Caenorhabditis elegans: one gene and its partner. The protein of the gene in region 1 interacts with the protein of each later gene in a pairwise test. Each region holds a gene or a part of one and is shown in the gene's direction. Other genes may lie near its edges.

Region 1 (6,507 bases):
TCAGTGCATTTTTCCACTACTTTAGAGGCCCGTAAAATTGCTCCACGTGGGAGATTTGTGTACTCCACACGGACAAATAAATTTAGTTTTACAACTAAAACCGAACCGCGACGCGACACGCAACGCGCCGTAAATTTTTCCCAGATATGAAATGTTTCATTTTGAATTTTTATGTTTATTGTTTTATTTCTCAGAAAACATAACACCCGTCTTCCTTCCCTCTGACACTTGCCTAAAATGGTAATGTTTCTATCGTTCTGGAGAAGTGATTTTTGCGAAAATGCTTATTCATTCAATGCCGCGGCCGACACTTTTCGGAATCCGCTCCGCACTATACAGTTTCTTCCAATTCATTTGTTTTTCTAAGTCTAAGCCTCAGCTTAGGCCTAAGCCTGAGCTTAAGCATAAACATAAAAAATAACCAAATTGAGAAACAATATTAGTTCATAGAAAATATAATACAGATTTATTAAACAATTTCAACATAAAATTCCATGTTCACTATTCAGCAAGCTTCTTGACCGCAGAATCTGAAAATAAAACCCTTTTTAGAAAACTCACTATTAGAAGTGCATACCTTTTTCCCTCCACAAAACTATGAACGGGACTAGAGCTGAGATCAGTGCAGCAAAAACCAACAACGATCCTCCAAAATAGTAGGTGGCCTCGAAGTTATCGAATTTCAAGTAGAAAAATGCTAAAATTTCGGATTTTTGTGATGCTCTGGCTTAGGAAAACTTTTCAAACCTGCACACGGCATACCGACTAGAATCGCCGAAAGTTTGATTGCTAGGAGAAAGTTTTGGGATTGTTCAGAAGCAAAAGTCACAAAGTGTGGGAGGGTGAAGCTCTGGCCTGAAATCTGAAGGTATTATTGTTAGGCTTAGGCTTAGGCTTAGGCATATATTTAGGCTTAGGCTTAGGTCATAGATTAGGTTTAGGCCTAGGCTATGGCTAAGGCCTAGGCTATGGCTTAGGCCTAGGCTTTAGCTTAGGCCTAGGCTTTTGCTTAGGCTTAGGCTTAGACGTGGGCTTAGGCTTTGGTCTAGGCTTCGGCCTAGGCTTAGGCCGTAGATTAGGTTTAGGCTTGCGCTATGGCTTTAGCTTAGGCCTAGGCTTTATCTTAGGCCTAGGCTTTTGCTTAGGCTTAGGCTTGGCGTCAGTGGCGAGCGTCAGCGGCGAGCGTCAAAACTCTATAAACCCACGCTATTTAGGCTTGGGTTTATAGCGTTTTTTTCATTAGGCTTAGGCTTAGGCTTAGGCTTTAGACTTAGGCTTAGGTTTTAATTTAGGCTTTGGTTTTGTCTCAGGCTTAGGCTTAGGACTAGATTTATGCCTAGTATTAGGCTTCGGCTTAGAATTCGATTTCCGGACTTACCGAATACTATTCCAAGGAACAGGTAGAACACAAAATTGATTCCTGGTTGATGAATATTGGGAATAGCAATCGTCAAAAGTCCTGCGATCATTTGCGACAGGGTGATCAGGATCAAATTCCGGATATTCCCACCTTCAACAAGCGGGCTCAAGTATGTGCTTCCTGAAATTCCATAAAAAGAGCAATTTTCAACGTCACATTCCAACTACCAATGTACAAGCCCGCGGTAAGCATTCCAAACAGAAATACAACTCGCATTAGAATATAGGTGAAGCCTCCTGTGAAATCCGCGAAAAGCATCAGGGGAATACAGAACCCAATAATTGATATGTAGTGGGAAGCACTGAGAAGTATGAAGACGGGATCTTTGAGTAGACCCCACGAAGATCCAGGCTCTTTTGAAGGTGGAGTTGGGGGTAAAGGAAGAGAAGCATCTTTTTTGCTGCTGAGCACAGTTTTCGGGATGGTCCTGAAATTTATTTAGCACATCCAGATATGAGCTAGTTCCAAACATGGTGCATCAACTGGCTTCACCCCACTGAACTTTGATGAGTAGCGCCAGTGGGGAAATTGTTAAGAACCACTCCTATAGTCCCAAAATGACCGAATATCATAATAAAACTTTTTTAGTTTTTAACTTTTAACATTTTAATGTGGTCAACATAAACAGATATATGAGGCCGGGACTAGTTTTCGACATGGTGCATCGACATCTCACCCAACTTTGACAAGTCATATCTCGGTTGTATTTAGTTTTATCAAAAATTTGTCAACTAACAAAATACTTATCGTATGTTTTTCTATAGCTTCGCAGTAAATTTCCTATTAATAACGTAAAATTGAACGAAGATATCAAGCTGTCAAAGTGAGTGAACCAGATTCTTTTTTTTTTTGAAATTCTATGCTATATTTTAATTTAAAAACGTAATGATTAACAAAAACCCACTTGGTGCATCGACACCTCACTTGAATGGTTTTCGTGTTTTTGTTTCCGAAAATTTGCTGTAAAAATTATTTTTTACAGCCAAAATAAGCATTATAGAAACAATTTTAGTATATAAAATTAAAAACCTACATATTATTGTTGTGGTGTTGCTTTGTACGAACAAGTGCAAATATATATATAAGTTATGGGAAGACGGGTGGTCGTAAAAATAGAGAAAGAGAGAGGGCAAAGAAGGTAAATAACGCATGGTAAGACCCCTTGAGAAATGGAAAATGACGTTAGAGAGACTTTAGTGAGCTGGAGGGGAAGATCATAGGATAGTTGTACTTGATGGCCAGGAATTACAGTAACCCGTAGTCGGGCGCTGTACTTTTCAGAAAATCAGTATACATATGTATATAAAAAATGCCGGGAAATTTAAATTATCTGAAAAAAACAAGTTTTAAATTTTTTGAGAAAAAAATGTTGGCGGGAAATTCAATTTTTCTGAGAAAATATTTTTGGCGGAATATTCAAATTTTCGGAGAAATTATTTTGGCGGGAAATTCAAATTTTTCGAGTGAATATTTTGGCGGGAAATTCAAATTTTTCGAGTGAATATTTTGGCGGGAAATTCAAATTTTTCGAGTGAATATTTTGGCGGGAAATTCAAATTTTTCGAGTGAATATTTTGGCGGGAAATTCAAATTTTTTGAGTGAATATTTTGGCGGGAAATTTAAATTTTCGGAGAAATTATTTTGGCGGGAAATTCAAATTTTTTGAGTGAATATTTTGGCGGGAAATTTAAATTTTCGGAGAAATTATTTTGGCGGGAAATTCAAATTTTTTGAGTGAATATTTTGGCGGGAAATTCAAATTTTTTGAGTGAATATTTTGGCGGGAAATTTAAATTTTCGGAGAAATCATTTTAGCGGGAAATACAAATTTTCGGAGAAATTATTTTGGCGGGAAAATCAAAATTTCAACAAAAAATTTTGGCGGGAAATTTAAATTTTCTGAGCAAACATTTTAGTTAATTTTTTTGGAGGGATCATCAAAAATATTTTTTCAGAGAAAGCTCTCCCCAAAAAAATATTCAGAAGCCCTAATTTGTTCTATGCTTGTTACGTGTTTTCTTCTGCTCTGCGAACCAAAATTTTACCATTTTCCTCCTGTCCCCCCTAACTAAACACCATCATTGAAACTGAAAAGTATAACAATTTATTTTCTTATCACACAACCCGGACACCTTTATCGCATTACCCCTGCCATGCTTCTCGCACATTTTGCCCATTAACTTTTTATTCCCTTCTGTTAGGTGGAGACTCTATTCTTTCTTGCTCCCTGTAAAATGACTCCGCCCGTGTGCCCGCTTCAAGGTGCAGAATCAGTCAGTCGGACTGGACAATCGACATGGCTCGGTTACTACTTTTGACGTTGGCTCTTTTCGGAGCAACTGCTGCACAGACATGTAACACTGGTGGTATTTATAATGCGCATTTTAATAGGTATGTTCCGTATTATGGATGAGTAGGTACTAGATAGGTTCGTAGATACGCAGGTACGTAGGTACGTAGCTCCTAATAGTACGGGTACGTTCTGTATAATGGGTACGTAGGCACGTATGTAAGTAGGTACGTAGGTACATAGGTACTACATAAGTACGTAGGCTCGTAAGTGCATAGATATGTAGTACTAATGTTGTTTTTGTAATTATAAGAACAATTGGAGGCATTTTCAAAAAAAAAATTTTTTCAAAATCATGTGAACTGTTTTGAAATTTTTCAGTCAAAAAAATTTTTTTGGAAAAATTTTCTGAAACTTTGCAAATGATTACCACTTGTTTTATTGATCAACGTTTTGAATTCAAAATTTTAACGTGTCTACAGTGTTTTCTGTGTCATGAAATACACATGTACCAGTTACCTTTTCAGATTTAAGCTACTCCCTAAAAAAAACGTAAAATTTATGTTTGAAAATTATAAAATGACAAACTAAAGCACTTTCAACGTTTTTGGAGAGTTTCAGAAAAATTTTCGAAAAAATCTGAAATTATTTGAATACGTCCCAAATCATTTGCAAAATCTCAAAACATCATAAAAATACATTACACTAAAAAAAACGGCATTGAACATTTGGTTTTTCTTCCCATCACTTCTTAACTATATGGCACCATTCTTTAACGTTATCACTAATGGCGAAATGATAAAAAAACATAATAGTTAGTGACAAAATCAGAAAAAAATTAAAACAAAAACTGTGTGATAAAAATTGAGACCTGAAATTAGTACTAAAAGCGTTGAGCAGAAAATACATGTACATATATGCATGTATATATATATATATATATAAATATATATATATATATTTTAACCAAAGTGGTCTATTATAGTCAGAGATTTTGTTTTGTTTCACTGGCTTATTCTGAATTTTGCCCGAAATGATCTATACAGGTTCAGGACAGTAGTAGAGACGATTTTCCGGGAAATTTTCCTTTTTCAATTTACGAAAGGGACCTGTTCACTGAGAATATTATATATCCTATCACTGATCTAGTATCCAAATTCCAGATGCTACCAATACTTCACTGCACCGGCTCAATTCGAGTTCGCTGAAGAGCAATGTAATCTCCTTGGCGGCCACCTTGCTTCCGTTCAGAATGGACAAGAAAACGCACTTCTTCAGTCAAACGCAGCCAATTCATTCAAGAGATCCAACTATTCCGATTACTGGATCGGAGCCAATGATCTCGAGACATCCGGCACCTGGAAATGGACAGATCCATCAGTGACATTCGACTATTCCAACTGGCAATTGGGTGAACCCCAATCCGGAAGTGACTGTGCAATTCAGGATAAGGGAGATGGAACCTGGTCGGCTATTGGATGTACTTCCTACAGGCCATATGTATGTGTCACACCTGTTATTATGACTGCCACGTGTCCACCAATCACTACACCGATTCGTAAGTGTTGATATTAATTTTAATAGCGGTGGTTCTATGTATTTTGTAGGTAGAGGTCTTGTAAAATTTTTATAAAATTATCCAAAGTACATGAAAACTGAAGTAAAACCCCTAGAGACTACAGGAGGCCACAGGGAATTGGGGGAACTGAGATCTAAGGGAATCGAGATCTAAGGGAATTGAGATCTAAGGGAATCGAGATCTAAGGGAATTGAGATCTAAGGGAATCGAGATCTAAGGGAATTGAGATCTAAGGGAATCGAGATCTAAGGGAATTGAGATCTAAGGGAATCGAGATCTAAGGGAATTGAGATCTAAGGGAATCGAGATCTAAGGGAATTGAGATCTAAGGGAATCGAGATCTAAGGGAATTGAGATCTAAGGGAATCGAGATCTAAGGGAATTGAGATCTAAGGGAATTGAGATCTAAGTGAATTGAGATCTAAGAGAACTGAGATCTAAGGGAATTGAGATTTAAGGAAACGGAAAATTTAGGAAACTGAGATCTACATAAGGAAACTGAAAACTAGGGCTCCCATGAGATGCCGCACGTCGGCCTCAGCGGTCGCCGCACGTATCCGAATGTTTAGTGCGGCGCGGAACCCCGAATGTGTCGGTCGCTCCAAATAACTACCTCTCCGCACAACCTTGCGCACACACCCAGCTACTCGTTTCACGCCAAGCTGCCGAATTCCGAACGTGTCGGCCGCTCCAAACAACTGCCTTTCGCACACACACAGAGGCCCGCATTTCGCGCCTCGCCGAGCTGGGAGCCCTACTGAGATCTATGAGAACTAAGAACTTTTTTAGCAACTACCTGCCCTACGCCAGCTCCGTGCCCTGTCAAGACCTGCGTGCCGTCTTGCGACCAAGGATGGACCTACTTTGCACCAACCGACTTCTGCTATCGTGTCTACCATAACGCCAAGTGGGAGGACGCAGAGGCTGCGTGTGTGCTCCTTGGAGCTCACTTGACCTCAGTTCACTCGGAAACCGAGAACACCTTCGTTGCTAGTAAGTCTCCACAACTACCTGTACCACCTCAACACCAATAATCTTCAGACCTTGCCTCGTGTGGAATCAAGGAAGGAAACCCGAAGGATCTCGCGTGGATCGGTATGCACAAGGTCGGTCAGGACTGGGTATGGACTGACGGTACCCCATCAAACTACATCAACTGGGCACCAAAGCAGCCTGACAATCCGGGAAAGGAAAATTGTGTGGAGACAGCGCCGGAT
Region 2 (6,507 bases), on another chromosome or scaffold:
TACAAATTTTAGCCCAAAAGATGCACAAATATTTTTTAAAACTTTTGGTGACCACGGATTTTGGATAAATATTTCCTATTGGATACGGTATGTCAAAAACTGTCAAAATTTGCACTTTTCAGTTGAAAATTTCAAACTTAGAAAACTACGTCAGATTTGAACAGATATTAATGTTTGTGGTCAAAATAAAATAAGCAATAAGCTCAAAATTCTCTAAAAATCGGTGAGAAAAGATTTTTACTTTTTTCTCTCTTGACCCATACCAGCCGCATCGTCCTGCCAAAAACGGGCATACTATGTTAAAAAGCAAGATTTTTTTTTGATATTTTTTGTTATTGAATAATGTTCCTTGATATTGACTTCATATAAAAACGACAAAAAAAGTAGAAAAAATTTCAGAGCTGCTCAGTATAAGGGAAATAATTCCCAAATAAAAATTTCTTCAGAGCCGTAAAATTTCGTTGGGTAGTCAAAATGCTGGAAAAAACCGTATCATTTCATTTTTCTTATTTTTATTTTAAAATTTGCACTGTCTCCCGTCTTTGAAACATGCACTTCAAATGAGCTCTATCGTCACGCGCGAGAGAGTGAAGACGCAGAGAAGTCATAGCGCGTCGCTTTCTTCGTGCGATTGGCGCATTTCACGCGCAGGAGGCCGTGTGAAACGCTAAAAAAGCTCGAATTTGAATTACCGCTGAAAAGTTGTGTCCAATAGAGCGCATTTGCACCATGCTCAAAAACTGTTGTACATTTAAGTTAGCTTCTTGTTCACAACACTCAAATACACATAATACACAAAAAACATGCAGTTTTCAAAACACTTTCATTCAAACATTCACTGGTAAGGAGATCTCTAATGATTGCTAGTTTGACTCTTGCTCTTATTCAAAGGAGTTGCTGATGATTCGGGTTTGGCCATTGTCTCCTCAATCTTCTCTCTCAATTCGGAAGCCGTCGGGCGTTGATTTGGATCCACGTGCCAGCACAGTTTCATTATTTCTTCAATATCCCATGGCATTCCTTTTGGAGTCGGAAGCCGATAGCCAGCCCGAGTTTTTTGCTGAAAAGCAGAGGTACGACAAACAATAGGATATAAATTACTAACCTTCACCATATAACCTTTCCACTCACTATAAGGGGAATCATATGGCACTTCAAAGAACTCCCACATAGTTATTGCAAACGCGAAGATGTCCGTATTGTCACGTGTCTCTCCATTATCCCAAACTTCTGGTGCCAACCAACGGGTATTGGTTGGTTTGTTCAAGTCGACTTTGTAGATTGACGTGGCACGGCACATTCCAAAGTCAGCAATTTTGACGATTTCCTTGTGAATGAGACAGTTTCGAGCGGCAATGTCGCGGTGGATGCATCTGAAAAAGTAGATTACAGTGAACCAGTTCTTTGGAAGTGAGGAAAAAACCACAAAAAATCTCTCACTATCATATCACATGTCTTGGGTGAAAAATCAGAAAGAAACTAACTTCTTCTTGTGCAAGTACTCTATCCCACATGCAGCGTGATAAGTGTACATGATCCTTGTCTTTGTGCTCAACTTGGCTCCCTTTTCCACTAGTTTATCCTCTACCGATCCACCGTTACAAAGCTCCAGAACCAGCAAGTATGGAATATCATCAACAATGTATCCATAGAACTTTACAATATTTGGATGGTCATAGAGTTGCATAACTCTCGCTTCCTTCATCATCTCGGCTAATGATTCTTCGTCGTTTCCTTCAGTGTCAAGTTTTTTTACAGCAATTTTGGTATTGTTCTTGGTGAGACGGCCAAGATAGACGGTTCCGTAGGCTCCACTACCAAGCTGAAAATTAAGGTTTTCAGGTATTGAAGCCTCTTTCATTAATAATTAATACCTTCTTTTTAAAGTCCACATCTTTATGCATTAATTGGAACTTTCCCTTGGGAATCGCACGTTTCAAGATCACCCGTTCTCCTTTGATTTCCATAGTTTCTTTTTGCATTGAGTCAACCAGCTTCCCAATATTAGGAGCTGATTTTCCCTGAAAACAATATTAAATTTGTTAGTTAGAAGTACGGTGCATGCATACCCCAATCTTTGCAGAAGTCGGATTCCGTTTGATTTCGAAACGACGTATTCCTTTTTTCAAACGAACAGCCAAGTAGAGTTGCTGAAATAAATTCACTTTTGAAGATTATTTAAACTAAATTGGCAAACCATTTTGTTCAATTCCTGATTCATTTTTACAACAATCATGTAGTCACCGTCATTCTGAAAAAAATTAAAATCGTTTATGTTGAAAAATCCAACGTTCTTCAAATTTGAAACCAATTCCATCTGGAAATCCATCTAGACAGTTATTGTGTTCACCAGGACCCTTGTAAGATCGCTGTAGACGCTCATCACGTTACGTTTGTGTTGAGCGCGTGCTCGCGATAGGTCCATTGTGGTCACTGATTGAGTCAATATGTGTACAGTGGATACGAAATGACATAAGATCCACGGATAAAGCGCCCTCTAAATTGTCACTTACAACTAGAAGCTGATCAGCATCCTGGTTCATGAGTGCACCATGATAATACGGTAGGTTAATGTCCTCTTCAAGAATCCTGAATTCATGAAGATTTTAACAACAACCGCATTTAAATTCAACTCACTTTTCTTTGTTAGCCATTTCCGCGTTGGATAAAAACTAAGAACTGAACTTGGAGCGAAGTTCAAAACCTTTTTATTGAAAGGTGGAGGGGGGAGGGAATGAGTTCACGTTGTCATCATTTTATTAAAATTAAAATCAATTTTTCAAACAAAGAATTCTTTTTTTCCTATTTATTAGTATTGCCTGCAAGTCTAATTTTCAATTGGTCAGTGCATGAAAAATTTTTTATGTATCATTTTGTATCCAAGACTGCTTGTTTTTACCTACAAAAACTGCAATTTTGCCTAGAAATAAACCAGAATACTGCATAATAATAGCCAACATGACTTTTAAAAAGGCTTAAATTTGTGTGGTGTAAGCAGATAAACGGCAGTTTATTTGCAGTTAAATGGCAGATGGCACACCTCTGGTGCTATATATTTGTCCCCCCAACTAACTGCTGGCGGTCTGCCAACTTTCTGCCAATTAAAAATAGCCGTTCTATCTGTGTATCCATTGCTCCAGGTGGCCAAAGTTTTCTATTATTTCTCTAGAATTGAGTTTTTTATGCCATTTTTTTGAGGTCAAACAATCTTTTATAATTTAGAGAATATGTCTTCGAAGAGAAACATTAATTGATTTGTTTGATTGATTTCTTGCCGTTTCGTTGAAATTGTTAACCAAAATAAAGCGAACAGTGTTCGTGTGTTCGTTTTACAGGTTAAACTTATCACATGAAAAACCACTAGGATCTGTCAAAGAGACAAGTGATATATAAAAAATGCGCGGCATTTTTCAATGACTTCCCCAATCCCTTTGATAATAAACCTGTTCTTTCAGAGAGACGCAGAAGAAGAACACCGTCGGTTATTGATTATTTTTCACTGATTAGTCACGTCTTCACATTTTTCTAGAATTTATAGTTTTGAATCCTATCTATTCAAATATTATTTTCAAATGGACAATTATGAAAAAGTGCGTGTCGTCGGACGTGGTGCTTTTGGAGTTTGTTGGCTGTGTCGCGGTAAAAATGATGCATCACATCAAAAGGTTAGTCAGACAATTGTAATAGTTTCGTTGGACTCTTTTACATTTGAAGCCTGGTATGGTTTAATTTAGGGAAAATAATCAATTTTTAGAAATACTTATTTTATTGGAAAATCAGTTTTTTTTTCAAATAGCAGTACTGTGTTATAATCTACTAACTTTATAATTTAATTTTTCAGGTAATTATAAAACTCATCAATACTCACGGAATGACTGAAAAAGAGGAAAATAGCATTCAGAGTGAAGTAAATTTGTTGAAAAAAGTTCAACATCCATTAATAATCGGGTATATTGATTCTTTTATTATGGATAATCAACTTGGAATTGGTAAGTAAATTTAATTTTAAAATTGAATTAAAATTCGATATGTTCAGTTATGCAGTACGCGGAAGGAGGAACATTAGAGAGATTAATAAATGATCAGAGAGCGATTAAAGATTCAAACATGAGAGAATATTTTCCCGAAAAAACTGTTTTAGATTATTTTACACAGGTTAGTTATCATCTTAACTTTTTACTGAAACAAATATTTTTGAAGATTCTTATTGCACTCAATCATATGCACCAGAAAAATATCGTTCATCGTGACCTTAAGCCTCAAAACATTCTTATGAATCGCCGAAAGACTGTTCTGAAGCTATCGGATTTTGGAATTTCAAAGGAGCTTGGAACGAAATCTGCAGCGTCGACTGTTATTGGAACTCCAAACTATTTAAGCCCTGAAATTTGTGAAAGTATGTCAATTTCATTTTAATAATCATGAAAATATAATATTCAGGTCGCCCGTACAATCAAAAAAGTGACATGTGGTCTTTAGGATGTGTTTTGTATGAGCTTCTTCAGCTTGAAAGAGCATTTGACGGCGAAAATTTACCAGCCATTGTAATGAAAATCACCCGGGTATGTACCAAAAAAGGATAGGTCCCAAAACCCTTGCATTGTTCCCTGATGTTAAATTTTTAAATTTAATCATGTATCACTCAATTTCCAGTCAAAGCAAAACCCGTTGGGAGATCACGTATCAAACGATGTGAAGATGTTAGTGGAAAACTTACTTAAAACACACACGGATAAGAGACCGGACGTATCACGTAAAAAAAATTTCCACACTTGGAAATGTAATCGATTAATTTTCAGAGCTGCTTTCCGATCCACTTGTTCTTCCCTATTTGATATCAATTCATTGCGATTTGGGAAGAATCGAACCTCCACCGACGGATAAGGTAATTTTTAATTGTATTAGTGTTTTGATTTAGAGAAAAATGTCATGTTTACTATCTGGCCTTAACAGGGAATCATAATTCAGTTTTAAAGAAACCATCGACGTCATGCTAGTAAAAATAAATTCCTAGCGAGTTCTGTAGGTCAAACAGCGGAAAATATAAAAGCATGCTTTTGTTCTAATCTTCTTAATTAAATACCAGATAAATTACATTCTGAAATAGTGCTGGAAAACCAAAAAATTATTGAAAAACCTCTGTAACACATCAAAAATGATCACTTGATCGCACAGAATCCGGATTTTTTTCAGCCGTACTTTGAAATGATGTTCATTACTTGTCATGAATTTTATTTTTTTCAGAGAAAGCCATCAGCTTCATTGAGCAGTCGACTTCGAACGTATCCAACACAATCAACACTTCGTCCGTATTCTTTATCATCAAATGCTCCAACTACCCATTTGACACAATTAACACCAATGCCATCTCATATTGATTCTGGATTCTTTTCAAGTGGAAGAACATCAAATCAGAGAACACAATCAAGAAGTCAAGTGCATTCAAAGTATTAACTCCTGTATTAATTGTTTGTTTCTTTAAAATTAAAATTGAAGTTATTTTTTCACATAAAAACCAATCATTCGGAAGTGGGCAAAATATCACAAATGTTACTGTACGGGAAATGAGAAAGTGGACAAAACAAAGTATGCTAGGTATGATCTTTGTACAAAAGATTACGGTAGGTGAGAACAATGTTGTGGCCGAGATTTGTAAATGAGTTTGGTCGAGCAGGTGGTTGTTCACGTTGAGGATCCAGTTCAGCATTCGGAGATCGGGTTCGGGCTCGTCTTTCTGAGGCGCGCGCATTCCTCTGTTTGAAACTGAAATATTTGGATTTTAATTCATATGTAGTGCAAGTTTTTTGCCCTAAACCTACGGTACATGTATGTTTTATTCAAGTTGACAGGCAATTGCCTTTTTAAGGTCCCTATGAGAAATGGATAACCATGGTATTATTGTAGCAAAAACCGTAACAACAAGGAGTTGAGAGTTACAGTACTCCTCAAAGCCACCCACTCGGCAAAACGGCCTAACTTCATAGCATACTCTTGCAACTTCTTAACAACAATTAGGCATTTTAGCTTTTAGGCAAACTTCTGCAGCTTTTCAGACGACTTTTGCAATTTCTTAGCAGATGTAAAGCTAAATTTCGCTCACAATCCCGTTGGTTTTCGCAACTTCTTAACAGCTTTTTACAAAGTTATATAAATGTTTTTATTAAGTTGCAGGAGTATGCTATGAAGTTGCGACGTTTTGCCGAGGCATTTCTTTGATTGTCTTTTATGTTATATCCCGTGAATATGTGACATATGTAAGTAGTTGATTTCTTTAAACTCACTTCATACTATTCCGATCACCAAGGTTTCTTGAAGTTGTTTCCAAAAATCCATTTGTATTCTGTTCTAAGCTAACCGAATGACCATATCCATCTAACCAACTTTGTCTTCTTCCTTTTGCGGAATGACTTGAAAAACATGAATCATCTGATATATCAGAACCATTTCCTATTCGAATACTCATATCACTTTCCAAACTTCCACGTGAATCTCTTGATTCTCTTCTAC

Evidence for each region.
Region 2: the proteins of clec-50 (region 1) and nekl-2 interact in a two-hybrid assay, tested with the Caenorhabditis elegans proteins (one large-scale study listed by BioGRID).

Annotation. Positions count from the first base shown.
Region 1 is NC_003283.11:19,752,547-19,759,053, reverse strand, and holds the start of clec-50 (C-type lectin domain-containing protein), read left to right. Parts: upstream 1-3,685; 5' UTR 3,686-3,717; coding exon 3,718-3,812; intron 3,813-4,874; coding exon 4,875-5,269; intron 5,270-6,079; coding exon 6,080-6,283; intron 6,284-6,331; coding exon 6,332-6,507. Other genes in the region: W04E12.9 (MFS domain-containing protein), read right to left, coding at 502-530, 578-697, 748-855, 1,379-1,540, 1,588-1,847, 2,454-2,455.
Region 2 is NC_003279.8:6,659,634-6,666,140, forward strand, and holds nekl-2 (Serine/threonine-protein kinase nekl-2), read left to right. Parts: upstream 1-3,500; 5' UTR 3,501-3,572; coding exon 3,573-3,665; intron 3,666-3,841; coding exon 3,842-3,989; intron 3,990-4,036; coding exon 4,037-4,155; intron 4,156-4,200; coding exon 4,201-4,396; intron 4,397-4,440; coding exon 4,441-4,562; intron 4,563-4,653; coding exon 4,654-4,753; intron 4,754-4,799; coding exon 4,800-4,885; intron 4,886-5,244; coding exon 5,245-5,454; 3' UTR 5,455-5,527; downstream 5,528-6,507. Other genes in the region: ZC581.7 (Tyrosine-protein kinase), read right to left, coding at 854-1,060, 1,106-1,373, 1,485-1,822, 1,875-2,021, 2,070-2,150, 2,198-2,251, 2,514-2,589, 2,638-2,654; ZC581.9 (Protein kinase domain-containing protein), read right to left, coding at 5,592-5,763, 6,282-6,507. UniProt on the Caenorhabditis elegans protein: Probable serine/threonine-protein kinase required for the completion of molting. May play a role in endocytosis in the hypodermis syncytium.